Linked DNA regions of Xenopus tropicalis. The protein of the gene in region 1 binds, or shares a complex with, the protein of each later gene. Links are inferred from orthologs where the notes say so. Each region holds a gene or a part of one and is shown in the gene's direction. Other genes may lie near its edges.

The links.
Region 2: the proteins of fzd4 (region 1) and ndp are in contact, whole or in part, in a crystal structure (PDB 5BQE), measured with the Homo sapiens proteins. The link is inferred for Xenopus tropicalis from reciprocal best matches to the Homo sapiens genes FZD4 and NDP. Residues at the interface, in NP_036325.2 of Homo sapiens: Ser51, Met52, Gln54, Asn55, Leu56, Gly57, Gln95, Phe96, Met105, Thr107, Lys109, Ile114, Asn152, His154, Met157, Cys158, Met159, Glu160, Gly161, Pro162; in NP_000257.1 of Homo sapiens: Asp33, Ser34, Pro36, Arg38, Met40, Arg41, His42, His43, Tyr44, Val45, Asp46, Lys58, Met59, Val60, Leu61, Lys102, Lys104, Leu106, Tyr122, Leu124, Ser125.

Annotation. Positions count from the first base shown.
Region 1 is NC_030678.2:168,413,963-168,418,240, forward strand, and holds the start of fzd4 (frizzled-4), read left to right. Parts: upstream 1-1,254; 5' UTR 1,255-1,776; coding exon 1,777-2,019; intron 2,020-4,278. UniProt on the Homo sapiens protein: Receptor for Wnt proteins.
Region 2 is NC_030678.2:56,030,543-56,033,177, forward strand, and holds the end of ndp (norrin), read left to right. Parts: intron 1-1,153; coding exon 1,154-1,381; 3' UTR 1,382-1,825; downstream 1,826-2,635. UniProt on the Homo sapiens protein: Activates the canonical Wnt signaling pathway through FZD4 and LRP5 coreceptor.

The DNA of each region.
Region 1 (4,278 bases):
GGACTACACCTAGCCACTGTTACACAACAGAATCTGTCCTTTGTCGTTTTAATATTCTTTACCTATAAAGGAGTCCCCTGCGATTGTGGGGGGCCCTGGGCAAATTACTTTGTTTTCTGACCCTAAAACTGACCCTGGAATTAAGAATAAATAAAATAATATTTTAAAAAAATGATTGTCCTTCCTTGAAATCTATCTCCATTCTGATTGTCGAAATGATTATTTAAAGGTCAATTTCCCTTTCTCTTATCAATCATGCAACTTCTACAGGCAAGGGATCTCTGTAATAATAAAACAGTACCTATACTTGATCCCAACTAAGATATAATTACCCCTTATTGGGGCAGAACAGTCCTATTGGGTTTATTTAATGGTTAAATGATTCCCTTTTCTCTGTAATAATAAAACAGTACCTGTACTTGATCCCAACTAAGATATAATTACCCCTTATTGGGGGCAGAACAGCCCTATTGGGTTTATTTAATGGTTAAATGACTCCCTTTTCTCTGTAATAATAAAACAGTACCTGTACTTGATCCCAACTAAGATATAATTACCCCTTATTGGGGGCAGAACAGTCCTATTGTGTTTAATTATTGTTTAAATGTTTTTAGTAGACTAAATTGTACAAAACCTACTTACGTACAATTTTCGGACCATGTGTGGGCTCCGGTACTTTTCGCACCAAGGCGGTTGCTCGTCAATAGGAGTACTGGAGCAGCTTTGGGTTTCAGCAGAACAAGGCGGGATTGCACAGAACCATCATATCCACCAACTTTGTATGTTTAAATACATTTTTATTGCACATTTCCCGAGACGCCGACCCCCCCCCTTTACGCATGTGTCCTTCCCCTCACACATTTTTCTGTGATTATGGAGTTTATTTGCGCTATCAGAGCACAAGTCCCCAGCCAGACTCTGCCAAACTCAGCAGGGGAAATCAAGTCTCCACTCCACAGCCAAATCCCCAAAATTATAGCCTGGATGCTGGCTCTGATACCAGCCTGAAAGTTAGCACTAAACAGAGACAGTCAGCGTTAACCCCTTCAGGGCAAGAAGAGCCTGCAGGGGTGCCCTTTCCCTAGCTACTCTGCAAGCCAGGCAGGCACACAGAGGGTTAAAAGCCAGACTGCTGAGTGAAGGGAAGAAACTGGAGGAAACTTGAGAACCTGGCTGAACTGAACCTCTCTGGATACCGTACCCTGGGAGAAGGCAGCCCCCACCATCCTCCCCCTCTGTGCCTAACCCACTCCCCAGCCTCCTCCCCTCATTAGTACAGGCAGGAGCAGGGGAGAGAGAGGCAGACAGAGGTCTAGAGGTGGAGAGGCTGCTGCTGTCTAACTGCGCTCTCTGCCAATGAGCATTGCACCCAGGGAATGTAACAGTGCAGCCTGACCTACCTGCATAGTGCACCCCCCTACCCACCTGAATAGTACAGCCCGACCTACCTACATCTACAGCGCAGCCTGGTCCACCTACACGGTGCAGGGGAGCTACCCAGGCGGCGCAGTTTGTGCGCTAACAGCTGCGGAACCCATTGGAACATACAAGTTGTTGGCACCGGGATAGTAGCACCATCTATCTTTCCCCCCTATTGGATGACAAAGGATTTGGGGAAAGTTCCAGACAAAGTTCAGAGATTTACATTTTTCCTCTCTTCTGCGATTTTTTTTGTTCCCGTCTGGTTTTCCCATCAGTGGAGTCGCAGGGTCGGGAGCTGGGGAGTCGGAACCCTTGGATCTGGTACTGAGTTGGGGGGGGGGGACACCTTGAATAATGGGAGTAAGAGCTTTAGCCTTGTGTTTGCCCCTCCTGGGCTGCCTTGTGGGGCACATCGCTGGCTTTGGGGATGAAGAGGAGCGGCGCTGCGACCCCATCAGGATCTCAATGTGCCAGAACCTTGGCTACAATGTCACCAAAATGCCCAACCTGGTGGGACACGAATTGCAAGCAGATGCCGAGCTCCAACTCACCACCTTTACCCCTCTCATACAGTATGGGTGCTCCAGTCAGCTCCAGGTGGGTACCTGCTGCCTAGCGATCGCTCCAGCCCCTGCGCAACTTCTGGTAATACGCGCAACCTACGCGGCGCCCCTGCCATTACGCGCCTTTAGTGTATTATATCTACTTATGTACGCAGCAGAATGCATTAATACAAACAGTTTAAAGATGATAATAGATAAATACAAAGTATAACAATAAATACAGATAAATTCAAGATACAGTTGCAATAAGTTAAGAGTCAAAGACACAAGAGGATGGAGGTCCCTGCCCCGTAGAGCTTACAATCTATATCCATATCGGAACCCAATTTGTAGCGCACCCCATTAAGTGAATTCACTTTATATGATCTCCAACCTGTACAACACTATGGGAGCGCCCATACCCACCTCTTTTACTGGTTCTATGGCTTTAAGTGCAACTTTATTCTTGCACCTCTAGGTGTGTAAGTGCATCTCTGCTTAATTCATACATTGTGCTGTATGTCTGGGGCTGCACATAAAGGGTGAAGACACACTGAGATACTAGTAGCAGCTACTTTTTCACGGCTACTAAACTCCAGAAAATCTCCTGCCATAGACAATACTGAGAATTGCCTCTTCCAAAATGTTAATAAATAAAACACACACAGAAACAGTTATCAGTAAATGATCAGCATTGTCTATTTTATTAGGGTGAAGACACACTGGGCTACTAGTAGCAGCTACTTTTTCATGGCTACTAAACTCCAGAAAATCCCCTGCCATAGACAATACTGAGAATTGCCTCTGCTAAAACACACGTAGAGACAGTTATCAGTAAATGATCAGCATTGTCTATTTTAGTAGCCGCGACAAGTAGCTGCTACTAGTAGCCCTGTGTGTCTTCACCCAAATAGGTTCTGGGAGACAGGCACCCTTTTTAGGATTAATCAGTGCATTTCGGGCGCCTCTGTGTCACTATCGGATTTTAATGCAGCTCACTCTGCTCTTAGTCGGTGAGTGTGTCAGGGAAAGGGTTAATTCAAACCCAGCTTTGGGGAAAGTTTCATGAGAAGGATGATTATACAGTAGTCTGTGTGTACGGGGGTGGCAGTAGCTATAGTATCTATATCATATATGCAGAATTTCTTCATTTTTCGGCTTTATTTCTCCCACTAATCATATTTTGTTTGGGGATTTAACAATCAGCATCAGCGTCCCCAAAATGTGACAATATACACTTGCTGCATTTTATTGCACCTACCCTTTAGTTCCCCTTTAGCTTCTCTTGTGTTGTATCTGTATTTCCTTCCTTCTCATAGTAGACTTTTAACTAGAAAGGAGAAATGCATAATTGCATTTGTTTCTCATATACATCCCTGTCCCTAGGAGCTTACAATCAAGTGCAGTGGCCCGTTCTGTGAATTAACCACTGAATGGCTTATCTTTAAATTGAAAAAAAGGATACATTTCACTCTAAAATGATCACTCATCCTGTGTATATGGCTCTCCAGCTGCTGTTGGTGTAAAACTCCCAGCAGCCTACTACAGGTTGTTAGTGGTGCTGGGAGTTGTAACTTTATAGCAGCCGGAGTGCTCCCTAAAGGGCATTGGGTGAAACACCTGTGTCGGGGTTCCTGTGTATGTACATATGTATTTACATGGGGCCACAAGTGTACTGAGTGGCACAGTTTATACACACGTGGCCGCACCAGTCAGAACTCGGGCCATTGCCCCAAAGAGCTTACAGTTCTGCCCTAGCCCTTTCTAATGCGCCACTCAAGAAAATAGCGATTAATGTAACTTAATTAAAGTAACTTTCCGGTGAAGCATTTTCAGTGGTTCTGAAAGCAGTAGTCTGGTCTGTTAAGTGACTACATTGTTTCCGGAGTCTGAACCTGCAGTGCAGAGGATATAAACAGCCAGGCAGGTACTGCTTCTAGTGGCAATTACAGTTACAATCAACGTGCATGTTTGCTTAATGAATTTATAGTAGAAAGTTGCATAAAATTACATTTAAACGTTTTTTTTGGGTGTAGCTCCCCTTTAATCAGGAACCCCCCCCATATGTTGCCCCCCCAGGATTCCATTTAAACTAAAGCATAACCTTTAAATTGATATTTTCATCAATTTACTATAAGGCAGGCTTTTGATTGACTCTGTTATTAGTTATCTTACTCATCAGACCCTTTTCTTATTGATATGAAATTGTCTGGTTTCTAAGGTAAGGTACCCTGGCAACCATACAACGTTTTTAAATCCCAGAGCTTCAGATCATGGTTATATTAAAGTGGGTCACTTTTAGGTTAACTTTTAG
Region 2 (2,635 bases), about 110 Mb from region 1:
AAAGCCAGCTTTTTTGTTAAAGTTCGTCTTTTAACTGCACGTGCGCACCCGTGCGAAAAAAAAAAAACAGGAAGAGTATCGCTCCAAGGTGCTCATACAGCAGACAAATAATGCAACTATATTAAATGTTAACCATGTTTCATAGGTGCTTTTCAGGGACTTTAAGAAAAAGTAACAATAAAATTTTTTAAGTAAAAATCAATTCTACCCTGCTCCAATAATTGCCCTATCCTTCTCAGTGCTTATTATTCTGAATTCTTTATTAGAAAATACCTTGTAAAACGTTGCATCCCATCACTTCAAATACAGCGATACGGCGATCCAAAGAGATGCAGAATCCACTATGTGACGATCGACATCTCCTCCTAGCCCGACTCTGGAAGTCCGAAGTCAATTGTTTGCCTGTACAGAAGGAAGGCTAGGAGGAGATGTCGATCGTCGCATAGTGGATTCTGCATCTCTTTGGATCACCGTATTTGAAGTGACGGGATGCAATGTTTTACAAGGTATTTTCTAATAAAGAGTTCAGAATAATAAGCGCTGGGAAGAATAGGGCAATTATTGGAGCAGGGCAAGCAGGTTATTTATATAAAATTTTGGCATGGGGCTAGACATATTCATAGTTTCCCAGGTGCCCTCAGCCATTTGACTTATTTTCTTATAAACTTCAGTCAATCTCTACTGCTGCACTGTAAGTTGGAGTGATATCACTGCCCCTGCCGTTCCCCAAGCTGAACAAAGGGAAAGTATGAAGATAACAGCTCCCTTATACCTGTATTGCTAAAAAATGCTTCTATGCCCCACCTAGTGGCAGATATGATAGCAGCACCCAATAGTAAAAATCCAAGCCCGACTCACCCAGTTGACTGAGCTACAATAGGTTATCTGAAAGCAGTTCTAATGTGTAGCCCTGGCTCCCTCTAAAAGCCCAGAATCAGGCACAATGCACTGTGATTCCACCTACACACCAATATTACAGCTAAAAACATTTGGTTTTTGGTTAAAGAATGACATATTAAATGGTAGAATGAATTATTTGTAGTGTACACAGTGTAATTAAGTAATAAAAATACATCATAAAAATCATGACAGAATTTTATTTGTGCATGTGGTGCCTTTGCTTAATATGTATTGTTCTTCTGCTTTCCTATAGATGGTACTGCTAGCTCGCTGTGAAGGACGCTGCAGCCAGACTTCTCGCTCAGATCCACTTGTTTCCTTCAGTACAGTATTGAAGCAGCCATTTCGCTCCACCTGTCATTGCTGCCGGCCTCAGACTTCTAAGCTAAAAGCAATTCGCTTGCGTTGTTCTGGGGGCAGAAGGATGACTGCCACGTATCGTTACATACTTTCTTGTCACTGTGAAGAGTGCAATTCATAGAGACATAAAGACAACAAGTCAAGGTCTGAAGACAGTTCACAGAATATTTGTAATATATTTTTTATGCGTTGATTACAGTTTTGTGGAGACTCTAAAAGGAAATCTGCAGATGCCTGCCATTTGGTTATGAGGAATGAATATCTGTTGTTTATTTTTTATCATTTTTTTATATATATATAATTTACGTATTTTAAAGCATCAGACTTTATACATTTCGCTCTGTATAAGAAGATGAAAAACAATATTTTGTGTCTTTCTGCTACCAGCTAAAACACAGACATGGAACTCTCAGAAGATATTGTTTATTCCATTCCCTGTTTTAATATTGTCTTGTAGTACATGATGGAATAGTGCAAACTAAAGGCAAGGTCTGTTCATCACCATTGATATAAGTGTAGAATGATGGGCTGACAACAGAATAATAAAATATATTATTTAAATCTATAGACATGTTTTCTTTAATGCTATATCCAATCATTGGGCATGCATTTCATATTTTATTATAGTATTACATTTCATGTCACTTTTGAATCAAATTTCTTTATTATAATTGCAAAAGTGTTATTTTTTTATTTTCAAGATATTAGCAGTTGGCAGTAAGTAATACCTTGCTTCTTACAGAACAGCTCTGAGCTATAGTATTCACCAGCCATTTACCAGAAAATGACATGACTGCCAGGTAACTGCTTTCTTGTTACCTTCCCATTGTTCTGCTGATTGGCTGCTTGCAGCTCAGCAGTAAAGTGTGAGAAGCTCTATTAACTGATGTGTTTTAAAAACGCATCAGTATTCCTGTAAAGCTGGAAGCTGGCTACTGGAGGAGGAAGAGGACTGTGCGAGTCCTGAGTATTTTAGGAGCTGGTTGTTTTCTCTTTGTCATTAGCCAAAGACACATTATGCTATGTACCACTGGTCTCAGATAGCCCTTTAGATGTTAAGCCACACATTATACTAACGTAGGTATTTCAGGGCTAAACTGCTGTGTCTAAATCAGTGATCCCCATCCAGTAGCTTGTGAGTAGCAATGGGTGAAATAATTTGCCAGGCATGGATTTGTGGCGAATTTCAAACAAATTTCACTGTGGAAAAATTTGGCGTAAAAAATTGTCAAGTAAAATTGTCGCTTATTTTTAAATTCTTGGCTTAAAAATCAGGTGTGCTGTAAAACGGAGCCTCATTTAGGCTGCCAGTCTACATAGAGGGCTACCAAATAACCAATTGTAGCCCCTATTTGGCACCCCCAAGAAAACATTT